Canis lupus familiaris: one gene and its partners. The protein of the gene in region 1 interacts with the protein of each later gene in a biochemical or structural test. Links are inferred from orthologs where the notes say so. Each region holds a gene or a part of one and is shown in the gene's direction. Other genes may lie near its edges.

Region 1 (3,999 bases):
CCACATTCTCTTACTCCTTTCTTTTAAATACCCTATCCCAAGTGCCTGAGTCATTCCCTAAGTCTTCCACTTATTTCCCTTTCAAAGCCCCTGCTCCAGCTCATTGCCCCGGGGGTGGGGTGGGGGTGTCTCAGAATTAGAGCCCCAAAGACCTACTATCCTTTTGCCCTTCCAAGCAGATGGGATTATTTTCAGGCTCAGTCCCAAATTTCCACCTAGAGAGGGACTTCAGATGCCCATGTCCTCGCTAAATCAAATGGGTGGAAGAAGCCTGAAATATTGCTGGTATCTCCCATGAGGAGGGAGAAAAATCAGAGCAGGTGTGCAACCCCAAACTCCCACTTGTTCATGTCCATACTCCCCACACTAACCTTCTGTGGCCCCCACAGCCAGAAGAACACCCATCACAGCCACATGGAGAAGGCATTTTCTCGGCACCAGATTCATCTTGTTCTTTCTTCCAGCAACCAAAGGCGCTGGGGGTGCTGGGACAAGCCCCTATATAGGAGAGGGGTGCTCATTTGCATAGCCCATCCTCCTTTCCCTCCTGGAGAGGCTTGGGAGGGGCAGGAGGGCCAGAGAAATAACTGAAAAGGGATCCTGGTCCCTGGACATCCCGCTACTCAATGACAGTTTCTGGTTTCACTGGGTCACGACCTTCTTGACCGGGGAAACATGGACTGCAGGGCAGCTAGCTACATCGTGTGTACTCGACGCCTGCAGTGCACCACAGGCTAAGGGGATCAATCTGGTTTTTGAGTCAAACCAGGAAACCTCTCAAACAGATGGAGACCCTGCATCTCCAAACAGAGAGATAGGATAGGATAGGCAGAGAGGGGCGCGAACGACGTGTCCAAGGCCCAGGACACCCATACGATGAGATTCCTAGCTTCCTGCTTTTCAAAGGCGGTTCCCTGGGCCAGGTGGAATTCAATCTTAGGGCAAGACACATTTTCTCTGGGGTTGGCGAATCAGAGGTCAGGAAATCCCTCCAGGCCCAGGACACAGGAAGGAAGCTCGACTCCAAATTGGGTACTTGGAAAAAGACGTTTATTTAGCTTCCCCAAGGTGACAAACTTGTATCGAAGACCCTCGGTAGTAACCTTGCGCGAGGTGGGGTCACTGGCGGCAGCGACGCGCTGGGCTCGCCCCCCCGCTCTGACGCTGGCCAATGGGAAGGGCCGGGGGCGGGGCCAGGGAAACGCGGGAAGGAGGGGCGGGGCCTCCACTGGCGGTAGGGAACCCGAGGGGAGGCGGCAACATTGTTTCAAGTTGGACAAATTGACAAGAGCGAGAGATACACTCCGTTCCATCCCGACCTGAGGCCGCGGAGCTGGGCCCTGTTTCCCCTCCTCCAGCCCCCGAGAGCCGGGGCCCGCCTTTTGCTGGGTTCCCAGGCCCCCGCTCCGGGGCCGGGCTGACCCGACTCTAGCGCTTGCTTCATGGAGAACTTCCAAAAAGTGGAAAAGATCGGAGAGGGCACGTACGGAGTTGTGTACAAAGCCAAAAACAAAGTGACGGGAGAAGTGGTGGCGCTTAAAAAAATCCGCCTGGACACGTGAGTGGCCTCTGTACCCGGGACTCCTCTAACTCCGGAGCTTCTTGAGTGCCCCCCGCCCCCACCCCGACAGGCGGGTAGCCGTCCGAGGACCGGAAGGTAGCAGGGTGGGACTTCTTTCGAAGTGGAGAGGTGGGCTGGAGGACAGTGAAGGGTTTCCCTGTGCAGAGTATAGGGCACTGTAGAGTCTGTGGGAAACTTTCTCCCCAAAGCCGAGTGATGCCCCCAAACGTGTAGTCCGAAAGACTCAGGAAGAGGAAGGAGGCCTCTGAGGTGGGGGTCCAAGACTCCCCGTGGAGTTGAGGTCTGTGGGAACCGGTGAAGAGCACCTTTCTGAATGAAGAGCCCTCCTCACTGCCCCAACCCCACCCTCCTCTTAGAATTCTCTACCCCTTTCAAAAGAATGGCAGTTGAACCTCACTGGCCCGTCTAGGGAGGCTGGGTGCTGCTACTCTTCTTTCCTCCCGTTACCTTCTCTCTTCTTCACCTCCACCAGAAGGCTTTACTTACCTACCCGTGGGAGAAGAAGAAATAATGACCTTAACGTATCCAAAAAGCACCCCCCTGTCCACCTGTGAATTAACTCCTACAGCCCCCTTTCTCTTCTGTCACTTTCCTAGGGTGTGCTGGGGTGGTGTCTCGTTCGGAGACTGGGCTGGGGGAAAAGCAGTATTTGTAACCACATTCCTCTCTCTGCTTTCTCAACCTCCCCAAGTGAGACGGAGGGTGTACCCAGTACTGCTATACGAGAGATCTCCCTGCTTAAGGAGCTTAACCACCCGAACATTGTCAAGTAAGTATGTGTCTGGGAGATATTTCAGCGGTAAAAGAGAATGTCTTCTGTGAGGCCGGGGCATCGCTCTTCCTCACCTCCATTCCTGGACCTCCCTCCCTAGGCTATTGGATGTCATCCACACAGAAAACAAACTCTACCTGGTTTTTGAATTTCTGCACCAGGATCTGAAGAAATTTATGGATGCTTCTGCTTTGACTGGCATTCCTCTTCCCCTCATCAAGGTAATCCTTCTCATCAACTCCTCCCCCAACATGGGCACGTTTTGGGGGGACTGAAGGCAGGCAATTCAGACTGGGTGATGATCTGTGATCTTAGCTTCCTTCCCAGCCCTCATCCCCCTACACACACACACACACACACACACACACACACACACACACACCTTTCTTTTGTGGCTCTTTCACTGCTCATTATGCTTATTAACCCCTGGGCAGGGCAGGAGAATCAAAGAAGTTGAAACTCTAGTGAGTCAACTTTGTAGCTCAGGTGGAAGGTCAGATGAAACTCAGATAAACGAGACTGGAGGGTACTTGGTACTTGGTAGATTCCTCCAAGAACCCCTTCCACTAGTTTGGTAGGAGAAATAGCCAGTGAGTCTCTGTTGTCTGTCTTAGGGCTGGGTTCTCTGCTCCCTGAGCTATTTTCAATCTATCAACAAACATTTATTCGGTGCTCATTTACTGAACACCTTCAATGTGCTAGGCACAGAATATGGAAAAGAGATGCAAAACTAAATAGGACCCAGTCCTTATCTTCACTAGACTAGCAGTCCAATGGGAGATACAGCTTATAAACATGCAATTATAATCTAATACAGTAAAAGGCTTTAGTACAGCTTTGCAGGCAGAGTGGAGCCTAATAGCTCACTGTGGTCGAGAAACAAAGTCCTCTCTCTCTCCTTCGTCAGAGCTATCTGTTCCAGCTGCTCCAGGGCCTAGCCTTCTGCCATTCTCATCGGGTTCTGCACCGAGACCTCAAACCTCAGAATCTGCTTATCAACGCAGAGGGGGCCATCAAGCTAGCAGACTTTGGATTAGCCAGAGCCTTTGGAGTCCCTGTTCGTACTTACACCCATGAGGTGAGACCCTGTCTGCACTTCTTCTCTGAACTTTCTGGGAGGTGTTAACAAGGACATTTACAAAATGACTAAACCTATCTGGCCAGCAGTTTCTCTCTCCCTAGATGAAAGTATCTCTGGCACCCCAGGAGGTTTTAGAGTATGCACTGAGTTCATATTGCGGGGCTAGCTGGGCTTCAGTAGGTACCAAGCCAGCAGAGCTGGATGGCATATCATTAAAATTATGACCACTTCTCTCAGGAGTTTTCCAGGAAGGTTGAAAGTTTTGGGTTCAGAAAATAGGGTCTTTGGAGCCACAGGCGAGGCTAACTCTGGTCTAAGAAGTTGTGTGTAATCACTTTACGCAGGGGAAGTCAGAAAGATGGGAAAAGAAAGATAGAGGGAGAGAAGCTGCTTGTGATCAGGCTGAGAACTAGCAGAGTAACACCGAGGAGCTGACATGTGGGAATCACTGTGCCCCATGCACCACCTCTCCCCTTCTTGCTCTTGTTCCCAGGTGGTGACCCTGTGGTACCGAGCACCTGAAATCCTTCTGGGCTGCAAGTACTACTCCACAGCCGTAGATAT
Region 2 (3,419 bases), on another chromosome or scaffold:
TATTCTTTTTTTTTTTTTTTTTTTAAGATTTTATTTATTCATGAGAGACACCTAGAGAGAGGCAAAATTAGGCAGAGGGAGAAGCAGGCTCCCTCTGGGGAGCCTGATGTAGGACTCAATCCCAGGATCACGTCATGAGCCAAAGGCAGATGCTCAACCACTGAGCCACCCAGCTTCCCGGATGTTGTATTCTTGACTACTTCTGAGTGTCTATAACTTGTATTCCTTCAATTGCCAATCCAGTCTTCTCATAGTCCGTAGCCACCTATTTCTCTTAAATAAGGTCTCTCCTAGCTCATAACACAATAATGCTCACATTACAGAAAGGTGTTTCTGACAGCGCACTTTATTACATATTGATGGAGATAAGGACTTTGAATTGGGAAGTATTGGGAAGAGTACCTTGGAAGTCTGACAGAGTCCCATGTCACCTACAGTCTGTGTTTTTGAGGACTCCTGAAGCCCTTGAATACTTCCAGCAGGTTTGAGGTTTTCCTCCAGCACTTTATCTGTGCTAAGCATCTTTCCCATTTATTATAATGGATTTGCCTAATACTAAAGGTAGAAAGCATCTCAATAAAAAACATATCAAATTTAAGTTTTAATTCAAATTCAGGTCATTGGATCCTCAAGCCAAAGCTATTCCTCCTCCTCCTCCTGCTGCAAGGTAGATATCATTCTGGCTACTAAACTTTCCCAAACAGCCAAAGACATTCTCTAAAGACATCGGGCGTGTGAAAACTCCCAGGAGGCAGAACTGGCTTTTGAAGGAGGATCTATGTGGTTAATTTGGGGCTGCAGGCAAGCTGCTGCCCTCCCTCTGTGTTACTAACTACAGTTTATTCCCAAACCGAGAACCTGTGTCTTTCCTCTTACAAAAATCAAAGTGCAGACCTAGGGACATTTTTTAACATGTCCACTTGATACTTAGTAGAACTTACTGCAACTTTGAACTAACTACCATAATGCCTTAAACCCAGTGGATTCCTATGAAAAACTGAAAAGATTTAAAAAGAAAAATCTTTCATCTGTTGTACATGATTCATGAAAACACGAATCCGCATGTGAACCTAGAGACTGTTTTCTTCCTTGAGAGCTTCAACACGTCAAATTCTGTATAATAATTTTCAGTATTTAATCAGATTTTGGGAGCTAACAAACACAATTTGGGAGTCCAACCGCGAAGGGCGGCTGCCTGAGGGCAGTGGATTGGACGCTCCACCAATCACAGAGCAGCACCGGCTTATATAAGCCCCTGGCCGGAGTCAGGCAGCATTGCAAGACCTGCTCTTTCGTTTTTCCGGTTCTCTTCCTGCAGCGGCTTCTGCTCTCGGCCATGTCGGAAACTGCTCCCGCTGAGACGGCTGTCCCGGCGCCGGTGGAGAAGTCACCTGCCAAAAAGAAGGCCACCAAGAAGGCAGCGGGCAGTGGCGCTGCGAAGCGCAAGGCGTCCGGGCCCCCGGTGTCCGAGCTCATCACCAAGGCGGTGGCCGCGTCCAAGGAGCGCAACGGTCTCTCCTTGGCCGCGCTCAAGAAGGCGCTGGCGGCCGCCGGCTACGACGTGGAGAAGAACAACAGCCGCATCAAGCTGGGCCTCAAGAGCCTGGTGAGCAAGGGGACCCTGGTGCAGACCAAGGGCACCGGCGCCTCGGGCTCCTTCAAGCTCAACAAGAAGGCGGCCTCCGGGGAGGCCAAGCCCAAGGCCAAGAAGGCGGGCGCGGCCAGAGCCAAGAAGCCCTCCGGGGCCACTCCTAAGAAACCCAAGAAAGCGGCGGGGGCGAAGAAAGCCGTGAAGAAGACCCCCAAGAAGGCCAAGAAGCCTGCAGCCGCCGGTGTCAAAAAAGTAGCAAAGAGCCCTAAGAAAGTTAAAACGTCTGCCAAGCCTAAGAAGGCGGCCAAGAGTCCTGCCAAGCCCAAGGCGGTGAAGCCCAAGGCCGCCAAGCCAAAGGCTGCGAAGCCAAAGGCCGCGAAGCCCAAACCTGCCAAGGCCAAGAAGGCGGCCCCGAAAAAGAAGTAGGAAGTTTTTGCCCCTTGAAAAAGCCGACAAAGCCCCAAAGGCTCTTTTCAGAGCCACCCAGGTTTTTTTAAAAACAGCTGTACACTTAGACACAAATCTTGGTAATGGTTATGTAGCTTAATATAAGGCATTTTGGAAAACCCTGCGCTGTGTGCGGTCGAACCAATTGGTTCGGTGCTACGGTTCGGTACTACAACTGTGGTCCCACCGTTTCCCAGGGAATATTTTGGTTTGGGAGTTTTTTACTATAGAAGTCTAATTCTTTTCCTCCTAGCCTTGGCAGCAGCACGGCCTGGATGTTGGGCAGGACGCCGCCCTGCGCGATGGTCACGCGGCCCAGCAGCTTGTTGAGCTCCTCGTCGTTGCGGATGGCCAGCTGCAGGTGGCGCGGGATGATGCGCGTCTTCTTGTTGTCGCGGGCCGCGTTGCCCGCCAGCTCCAGGATCTCGGCCGTCAGGTACTCCAGCACGGCCGCCAGGTACACCGGCGCGCCCGCCCCGACCCGCTCCGCGTAGTTGCCCTTGCGGAGCAGGCGGTGGACGCGGCCCACCGGGAACTGGAGCCCGGCGCGCGACGAGCGCGTCTTGGCCTTGGCGCGAGCCTTGCCGCCCTGCTTCCCGCGACCTGACATGATGACAGACAACAGTGACTTGGATCGGAACAGATGGAGACCAAGTTTCAGTATTTATTATAGTCCTTACTGGGCGCCAAAATGAAGCTGTCCTATTGGCTGAACTTCGACTTTCATTAGAACCAATGCAATTCTGGTTTTCAAATACCCTTATTTTGATTGGATAGCTACAGGATGCTATCCAGAATTTACCACAAATCACTAGAGTTTAATCTCCTTCGCGTGAGGCTGTGAGTAAAGACTGCACGTAGTAACTGTTATTCTTTCCCCTTTTGGCTTTTGTTGGAGGGGAGTGGAGGTGTTGGGGAGGGGAGGGTTAGTTATTTTCCACCATGTCAAAGCAGTCAAGTTTAAGAAGTACACCAGGTCCAAGTGAGCCCGCCAGCGGAAAAGGTATTCGTCAGACACCCAAAGGCTTTTTTTTTTTTTTAAGAGCCATCCACACTTTCCAAAGAAAACTAATACTGCCTTTACCCTGACTTAGAGTTAGGCAAAAGCACATTTTCATCTGAAGGCTTTTGTACACACTCTAATTTTGCACAGAGTTACATTTTGGCCTTGTATGTTTTCAATAGGATCTAGCCTTTTTTTTTTTTTTTTTTTTAAGTTACAAACATCAAGCACTCCAAATTAATTTTATTGTGCATATTTCATTTAACATCCAAATTCTAAGAGTCATCCATGGAGTTAATTACTGAGAAAACTGCAAATTTAAGGTGAAAATGAAAAATAACCCTGAACTTGCAGTGAAAATCTTATTGTCAGAGCTTC
Region 3 (4,229 bases), on another chromosome or scaffold:
ACTGCTAATGAGAGTTTAAATTGTTTTTCTCTGGAGGTCGGTTTGGCAGTTCCTATCCTTTGACCCAATCATTCTCACTTCTATGAGTCTATCTTAAAAAAAAAAAAAAAAAAAAAAAAAAAACCCCCAGTCCTCAAACAACACAGACCCCCCACCAAAAAAAAAAAAAACAACCAACCAACCACACGAGAAGTTAGAATTTTTGCGATGGGGTTATTTACAACTGAAAAATTCCAAGAAACTTGTGTGTGCGACGATAAAGGGCAGACGAAATCACAATTTGACGAAGTACTGGAGGTATTTTTTCTCAACTTGCGTTTAAGTTTGCAGTGAGGTGGGCCAATCTCCTTTGCCAACACTTGCCCACGTGCTGGCAAACAAATATAAACACCGCGGCGGCGTGGAGGGCCCGGGCTTCGGGCTTCGCGCTGGGGCCGCTGCTGTTTACTCGGGTGGACGAGTCTCGGGTGGGCTGCCGAGGGGGCCACGGCCTGGGGGAAGCAAGCTCGCCTCGCTGGGGGCCTACCCGACCCTGCAGCTACCCTGGGGGGAAACCGAGGCTCCGGAGGCCTTCCCCACGGCCGCCGTCCCCGCCTCGAGCCCTCCCGGGCCGGCCTCCTTGCTGACTTCGGCGTCGCCTCTAAGCCCCGGGCTCAGCTCGCAAAGTTCCTGAGGCCCGAGTCGCCACTTCCGGCTCCAACCTCTACGGGGGAACGAGACTGCCCACAGCCACGCCCACAACGCCCCGGCCGCCCGCACCACGGGGACGCGGCGGCCACAGGCCGCACTCCCGGGGCAGAGCGCGAGAGCCGCGGGAGTTCCCAGGTCCCACCTCAGGCCCCGGAGCGCTGAGGGACCGCGAGCGGGCCACCTCCAGGCGGGGTGCGGCTGGGCCTAGCCGAGCCCGGGACCTTTCGCCCCTCCCAGAGGGCCGCCTCGGCTCCCCCGCCCGGCCCCGACCGGGCGGCGCCGGGCTAGGCTCCCAGAAGTCCGGCTCCCTCATAGGCCCGCGGCGCCGCGCCGCGCCCGCCCGAACGGCCGAGGGGGGGGGGGGGGGGCGGAGCCAGCGGGTTCGCGCCAAAATCGCGTAGTTGATCCCTCCCCCGCGGCCTACGTCGCGCCCTCCTTTTTTTTCAAACCCGAGGCTGGGCGTGGATTGGTGGGTCAGGCCCTCACGTGGTTAACGGTCGCGGGAAGCCGCGGAGCCCGAACCTGCGGAGCCCGGACCTGCGGCTGGACCTGCGGAGACCCCAGCCTCGGTGCCCAGGCCGCCCCGCCTCTGCTGGACAGGCCGCGCCGCTGCCGCCACCGCCGCCGCCGCCGCCGCCGCCCGCAGCCCCGAGCGCTCCGGAGCCGCACCCCGTCACCGCGCAGGTCCGCCGCCGCGGCGACCCGGCGCGCCCAGTCGCACGTGGCGGACCCGCCCCCTGGGCCGTCCGCGTCCTGGACTCCGCGGGCTCCGGCTCTCCGGTCCTCGGCCCCGGCCCCAGGGGCGCGATGAGCTTCCTGAGCCGGCAACAGCCGCCGCCGCCCCGCCGCCGTCCCGGGGCTTCCTGCACTTTGAGGCAGAAGCTGATCTTCTCGCCCTGCAGCGACTGTGAGGAGGAGGAGGAGGAGGAAGAGGAGGAGGGCAGCGGCCACAGCACGGGGGAGGACTCGGCCTTCCAAGAGCCCGACTCGCCGCTGCCGCCCGCGCGTAGCCCCACAGAGCCCGGGCCCGAGCGCCGCCGCTCGCCGGGCCCGGCCCCCGGCAGCCCCGGGGAGCTGGAGGAGGACATGTTGCTGCGGGGCGCCTGTCCCGGCGCCGACGCGCCGGGCGGCGGGGCCGAGGGCGACTCGTGGGAGGAGGAGGGCTTCGGCTCCTCGTCGCCGGTCAAGTCGCCGGCAGCCGCCTACTTTCTGGGCAGCTCGTTCTCGCCGGTGCGCTGCGGCGGCGCGGGGGACGCGTCCCCGCGCGGCTGCGGGGCGCGCAGGGCCAGCGAGGGCCCCTGCTCGCCGCTGCCGGACCACCCCGGCACCCCGCCGCACAAGACCTTCCGCAAGCTGCGGCTCTTCGACACGCCGCACACGCCCAAGGTGAGAGGACGCGGGGCCGGGGCACCGCGAGCCCGCGCCCGCCCAGCCATTTAAAAAGGCCGCGGCGCCGGGAGCCGAGCGCGCCGCTGCTCGGGTTCGGTTACATAACCGCCCTGCCGCACCCCTACTCGCTCCCCTGAGCCGCAACAAAAAGTTGGCAGCCCCTCTTTTTGGCCCTGCCCAGAAGTTGTCCGTTAAGATTATGTAACTGAACAATGGGCCTCTTCTGGAACTTCTTCATCTTTCAAAGGGGCTGATCGGCGCCGTCCAGGTGGCTGATGATTTCACGCCCCTCGAGTCGGGGCCTTCCCGACCGTGTCAGCCCGGAGTGTGGCCCTGATAACGTGGTTTGGAAGGATGTCGGAGTGGTGCTGGCCCGGCCACCTGACACTCCCGAGCGCCGCAGCCATATGGTGCCTTTTAAACGCCGTGATGGGCCCTGTAATTTGGGCGGCGCAAGCAGGAGTTGGGTTAAAAGAAATTTCATGCGCTTATCGCTTCGTGTCATGTGGCCTTAAGGGGTTAAGTTTGAGGTATGGAGGGAGAGTGCGCTTCGACTTGGGAGAAAAGGCTGGCTTTCCAAGCATTTCCAGTCCTAAAGACTCCTTAATTCAGGGTAGCGTTTAAGCTTCTATCCGCACATGCTATTTATTATTGGGTAAGCGTTTGTTTACACCGGTTTGCAGTGCCTATGTGTGGCCAGCCTAAGTGTAGCGATTAGGGACATCCGTTAAAAGCCAGCATTGGTGGGGTTGCTTGGACCCTTGTGGTTTCATATCGCTGATAACCTATCGTGATGATGAAGGTGTTCAGCACTTGTTTGTTGAGTAGCGAGTGAATATGCAGATTACTGCCTCTGGAACATTGGAAGTAACAGCAGATTTTAAAACGGACCCTTCAACGACATTGAGACAAGTATCGCGTTTATAAGACTAATATGGAAAATGTACTTTTCTGAGTCCCTTGCAGTGCCTTTGGTCGTAAACCTCAGGAAGAAGTAGTTTTTGAGCGTTACTGTTTATCAGGGACTTGCCCAAGGCATGATCCCTCTGAATGTGAGGGGAGGAGTCCGGCGGAGGTGGTTTTCAAAGCCCTATTTGGAAGGGGGGAAGGGAGCTTTTATTGGGATCCTTGACTGCTTTCTATTTTTAGATGGAATGAGAGGTTTTGTTAACTTTTAGACTGCAGAATAAACTTAATTTTAGTCTGCATTCCTATTCTTTTTTAGGGTCGGAAACTTATTTTATGTGGCAGTCTTTTTCAGGAAAAGTTGTTAGTATCCACCTTTCAGACTGCTGAAGTTAACCAGGGTTTGTTTTGCTTCAGATGTGACAGAAGCTTGTGTGTTGCTTTAATCCACACTATCAGACATGTGAAAGGCTTGTTGAAGGTTGGGTTGAGAAGGCTGTCTACAGGATTTAGAGACTAAAAATTTTATTTTTCCTGACCTAGAGTTTACTCTCCAAAGCTCGAGGAATCGATTCCAGCTCTGTTAAACTCCGAGGTGGTTCTTTATTCATGGATACAGAAAAATCAGGAAAAAGGGAATTTGACATGCGACAGACGCCTCAAGTGAATATTAATCCTTTTACCCCAGATTCTGTGTTACTTCATTCCTCAGGACAGTGTCGTAGAAGAAAACGAACACACTGGAATGAGTAAGTTATTTAGTATTCCACAGTTTGGTCCCCAGTCACCCAAGATTGGTTTGTGGTACTTATCAAACTTTAATTTTATCTGAATGACTTGGAAGTTTATGCTTTGAATTTTTTTTTTTTTTTTTTTTGTTAACTAGCACCCTCTTCCCAGGAAAGGTGGGTGGAAAGTAATCAGCTATGGAAAAGTAACGGTATGAAAAAGGAAGGAATAAAAAGCCTAAGTAGTTTGTAGAAAATCTGCTGGTGTCAAAAACAAGGCAGGCAGAGTTGATTTAGAAAAACTTTAATTTTGATACGTGTGATTGTGTTGGCTTGTTAATGAGCCTATTTCAGCAGGGACAGCATTTCCATCAGCTGAGCTATATCTTATGATTATAAAATTATGTGCTTGCTTGTCTGTTTTTATTCGTTTTACTTATTTATTTTTTCTGTTTTTATTTATTAAAATACAATTTCACTGTATATCAGATAAAGTTTTGGATCGCTAGTTGATGT
Region 4 (4,002 bases), on another chromosome or scaffold:
TTTTTTCACACTGGTTCTTGAAGGTATTGTCGTACTGCATGCTCAAGCAATACTCTATTTTTGTGATGACTTAGCAGAGGGCTCTGCTTACTTCTGAACTTGATCAATCCTCTCCTTTTTTTTTTTTTTTAATTTTTTTTAATTGAAGGTTGGAATTTATTCCCCTCTCCCTTCCACTGTTCTCCAGGGGTCACCGTTTGTGGATTTCGCACGGTCATCCGACCTGGAATGCGGCACACTCCCTGCTCTGGCCGCCCCCAGGCTCTCCCGGGCGGCGACAGGCTCGCAGCAGCTCGCCTTTCAGACGGCGACGCCGCCGGACGTCGTCGGCGGAGCGCGAGCAGCCCAGCGGCCCCGAGCGTGGCGCTCCACGGCCCTCACAGACCTACCGACCGTCCCCTTAGCTGTTCCCAAGCTCGTCTGGGCTGCCAGGGGGCTGCGCAGCTGTCCCACCGCACACCGTGGCAACCGCCGTGTTCTCCTGCTCCCCTAAAATTAAGCCACCGCCTCTCCTTCCAACCGCGCTTTAGTTTACAAAGCGCTTCCACAAGCGTAATCTGCCCCTCACGTCAGGCGTGTTCTCGGGAGGAACCTCGGAGCCGTAGTGCCTACAGAACAGGCACCTGGTGACCCGCAGTGCTAAGGGTCACTATCTCCCAGATGGAGGAAGCAGCTTCGCGGCGGCGGCGGCGGCGGCGGGGGGGGGGCGGGGGGGCGCAAGTGGGACGCCCGCGGCCCTCATCGTCTCACCTGGCCGGCGGACCGGGCTGCCGCCTCCACTCGGTGGCCGGGAACGAAGGCCCGCGGTGGCGGCGGCGGCGGCGGCTCGGGGTCTCCGAGGTCCTCTCGATCTCCGCCAGCGCCCGGCCTCAGACCGCAGACCCCACAGGGCTCACGCCCTCCCCATCAGGCCAGACAGCGTCCGCACAAGGACCGGGAACCCCGCGTCCGCCACAGCCGTCCCGGACCTGCGACCGGCGATCCGGGGCGACGGCGGTGACGACCACTAGAAAGGCCTGCAGGCTCCGGGGTAAGGAAAATCCGTCCCCAGTCAGGCGGCTGACATTTCCCAGGCAGCCGGAGCGCCGCCCACTTCCGCTTCCCCGCCTACCGCGTGGACGGCCCCGCCTCGCGGGCGCGGGGGCTTGTGGGTATCTCCGAGGCGGGTAAAGTCAGCCGAGGAAGGACGTCGCGCAGAGCCGGCGGGACTACGAGGCAAGACGGAAACTACAGTTCCCGGCAGGCAGCGGGGCGGCCGACGGCGGCGGCGGCGGCGGCGGAGGGCGAGTAGAAGAGCCCTCGCGCGCGCGGCGAGGATGGAACGTTGCTAGAGTTCGCGGGTCTCGCTGCTGGGGGTCGGAGCTGCACGCCTTGAGCCGCCGCGCGCCAAAGCGGGAATCCCGGAGGCGTGCAGTTCTGCAATTAATGCACGCGTTTAAAACTCCAGAAGCTGTGGACGCCATGCATAGGTAAACCGATTGCAAAAGGGGGCTGAGAGTGAATGAACCGCCTCAATTCTTTTAGGCCGCGAATATTGCTACGCGCTAATACTGTTGTGAATGTTGTAATTGAATCGTTGCTCAGCCCCTTCTTTGGGAAAGTGTGGGGGGCCGGATGCTTTAGTGCGGTGATCAGCGTGCGGTTTTTGCCTTCCCTTATTGAGCTTTCCTGCCGGTGTACGTTTGCCCCCCCCCCGTCCTCCCCCCCCCGCTTGTCTGTTCCCTCCACTTTAAGACATTCTTGAGGCCTTCTCCGTGATCGTAAATCAAAAAGCCTTTTTGATTTGTTCGGTTATTTTCTTTTTTTCCTTCTTGGAAACTCGCCGCCGGCACTTTAAAAAAAAATGCAATTCTTAAAGTTTTCTGCATTGCATAACTTAGAGTTTCATGTAGGCCTATCTTTGAATTATTTACGGGTGTGTTTTTGAAAGAAACCGGGGCTGTTGTGCATTTCTGCAGGAAACACCTCCAGGAGATTCCAGACCAGAGTAGCAACGTTACCACCAGCTTCACGTGGGGATGGGATTCTAGTAAGACTTCTGAACTGCTGTCGGGCATGGGGGTCTCTGCTCTGGAGAAGGAGGAGGTGGACAGTGAGAATATCCCCCAGGAACTGCTCTCAAATCTGGGCCACCCTCAGAGCCCGCCCCGAAAACGGCTGAAAAGCAAGGGGAATGACAAGGACTTTGTCATAGTCCGCAGGCCTAAGCTAAATCGAGACAGCTTTCCAGGTAAGGTATGAGGGTAAAACTGTCGGTCACTTAAGAAGTGGACTGAACTATTTATTGCTAATCTTTGTTAAGCGATCTTTAGGATGGCACGCTTTTAAAATTGCCTACTTCTGAAGTCGATTTCCAAAGCAATGGGACAACCCTTTGTCACTGAAATCTACAGGAATCTTGGTAGGTATATATTTTCCAGGTGCACAATTGACTTTTAACCCATGTGAAATTTTAACCCAGAAGATCTTCCTGCCTCCTTCCCTTTGAAGGGAATCTGCGTGTTCAAAGGCCAGCTCAGTGCCATTGTTAAATGGGAACATAAGCAATAATCTTGTAGGATTTTTGTTATTTATATTCCGTTGCTCTGTAGCTTCAGTTGAGTTTGTTGCCATAATTGCTTTAGTTATTTGTCAAAGGACTACTAACGTGAATGTTAAACTAGGAGTAGGGCCTTATATCCCTCGGACCTCCCAAGTGGGATTTTTCTGGTTTGATCTGTCTCCATTACTGCCCACATTATCTGTTCAGTCACCCAGCCAGAAACCTGAGGGCCAGTCCCTTCCCACCATCTTCCAGCCCCCAACCAATCATTGAATGTTTCCCTCTTGTCTCCTAGATGTTTTTCATACTCTCATTATCTCTTGCCTGAATATTGGCATGGACTCATAATTCCAGTCTTATCCTCCCCTGATCCATCCCCAGAGCTAGAGTGAACTGACTCAGATGTAGAACTCACCATATCATTTCCCCAGGCTTCTCAGACATGTCATTGAGTATCTCCCAGAGTGGATCAGAATCCGAAGAGTACAAAAGCCATAGGGTAAACACAGTGCAATGACTTAGGGTTATCAGTTTTTCTTGCCAGTAAGTCATTTAAAACATTAATCCAGCAAATATTTGCTGAGCACATGCTATGTGGGAGGCATCGTTCTATGTGTTGGGGATAAGGCAGGGAACAAAACATAAGCATTCCTGCTCTCATGAAGCTTCTGTTTGAGAGGGGGGATGCAATAAACATAATAAATGTGGTGTATAATATGTTAAGAAGGTGGTAAATACTGTGGCCAAAAACAAGTAGAGAACAAGCCAAGAGGGATTGGAAGTCCTGGGGTTGGAAGATGGTTTACAACTTTAAACCTCACTAAGAGATATTAAGGGATAGCCTCACTTAGACACAAGCTTTTTAAGCAAAAGCATACAGGAGGTGTGAGGAATGTGCCACGCAAATATCTTGGAGAAGAGGGCTCTAAGCAGAGGACAAAGGCAGTGCAAAGACCCTGGTGCAAAAACATGTCATGTTTGCTCAAGGAAGAAGGAAGCCATATGCAGACTGAGCAAAAGGGAGAGCAGTGGGAGATAGGGCTAGAGGTGGTGTTGAGCAGATTTGTGATGTCATCTGTTAAAAGGACACACTGATGTGTATGGATTAAACTATAGGGGGGTCACGCATAGAAGCTTAGAGATTTGTTAAAAGGATGGATTCTGACATTAGAGTTGACAGAATCAGGAGGCTATTGAAGTCGTCTGTAGAGGAGGCGATCGGACCCTAAACAGGAATTGGGTGGGTGATAGGGGAAGAATAAGAGGCAGATTAAAAGAAATTAAGATGAAGTCTTGCAGAGCCACGGTAATAAGTATATTCCTCAGTTCTCCCACCAGACTTTCTTTGAAGAAGGGTTGGTTGGTTGCTTTAAAAAAAAAAAACAAAACTATTGTTTCTGGGTTTTGACTTTTTCACTGGAAAAGAGAACCGGCAGGTTATGATCTGGAAATCTATATCA

What was found. The genes of interacting proteins can lie anywhere in the genome.
Region 2: of the proteins of CDK2 (region 1) and H1-5, one has a biochemical effect on the other in vitro, tested with the Homo sapiens proteins (15 studies listed by BioGRID). The link is inferred for Canis lupus familiaris from reciprocal best matches to the Homo sapiens genes CDK2 and H1-5.
Region 3: of the proteins of CDK2 (region 1) and WEE1, one has a biochemical effect on the other in vitro, tested with the Homo sapiens proteins (3 studies listed by BioGRID, with this or other methods). The link is inferred for Canis lupus familiaris from reciprocal best matches to the Homo sapiens genes CDK2 and WEE1.
Region 4: the proteins of CDK2 (region 1) and SKP2 form a complex in vitro, tested with the Homo sapiens proteins (3 studies listed by BioGRID, with this or other methods). The link is inferred for Canis lupus familiaris from reciprocal best matches to the Homo sapiens genes CDK2 and SKP2.

What each region holds. Positions count from the first base shown.
Region 1 is NC_049231.1:651,315-655,313, forward strand, and holds the start of CDK2 (cyclin-dependent kinase 2), read left to right. Parts: upstream 1-1,199; 5' UTR 1,200-1,442; coding exon 1,443-1,558; intron 1,559-1,685; exon of another isoform or gene 1,686-1,831; intron 1,832-1,888; exon of another isoform or gene 1,889-2,092; coding exon of another isoform or gene 2,093-2,103; intron 2,104-2,273; coding exon 2,274-2,351; intron 2,352-2,454; coding exon 2,455-2,575; intron 2,576-3,261; coding exon 3,262-3,432; intron 3,433-3,928; coding exon 3,929-3,999. Other genes in the region: melanocyte protein PMEL precursor, read right to left, coding at 372-447. UniProt on the Homo sapiens protein: Serine/threonine-protein kinase involved in the control of the cell cycle; essential for meiosis, but dispensable for mitosis. Phosphorylates CABLES1, CTNNB1, CDK2AP2, ERCC6, NBN, USP37, p53/TP53, NPM1, CDK7, RB1, BRCA2, MYC, NPAT, EZH2.
Region 2 is NC_049256.1:26,525,924-26,529,342, reverse strand, and holds H1-5 (histone H1.5), read left to right. Parts: upstream 1-1,290; 5' UTR 1,291-1,336; coding exon 1,337-2,017; 3' UTR 2,018-2,207; coding exon of another isoform or gene 2,208-2,648; 3' UTR 2,649-2,919; downstream 2,920-3,419. Other genes in the region: H2AC16 (histone H2A type 1-H-like), read right to left, coding at 2,208-2,648. UniProt on the Homo sapiens protein: Histone H1 protein binds to linker DNA between nucleosomes forming the macromolecular structure known as the chromatin fiber. Histones H1 are necessary for the condensation of nucleosome chains into higher-order structured fibers.
Region 3 is NC_049242.1:33,444,164-33,448,392, forward strand, and holds the start of WEE1 (wee1-like protein kinase), read left to right. Parts: upstream 1-1,429; 5' UTR 1,430-1,497; coding exon 1,498-2,076; intron 2,077-3,528; coding exon 3,529-3,734; intron 3,735-4,229. UniProt on the Homo sapiens protein: Acts as a negative regulator of entry into mitosis (G2 to M transition) by protecting the nucleus from cytoplasmically activated cyclin B1-complexed CDK1 before the onset of mitosis by mediating phosphorylation of CDK1 on 'Tyr-15'.
Region 4 is NC_049225.1:73,293,850-73,297,851, reverse strand, and holds the start of SKP2 (S-phase kinase-associated protein 2), read left to right. Parts: upstream 1-1,202; 5' UTR 1,203-1,425; coding exon 1,426-1,469; intron 1,470-1,958; coding exon 1,959-2,230; intron 2,231-4,002. UniProt on the Homo sapiens protein: Substrate recognition component of a SCF (SKP1-CUL1-F-box protein) E3 ubiquitin-protein ligase complex which mediates the ubiquitination and subsequent proteasomal degradation of target proteins involved in cell cycle progression, signal transduction and transcription.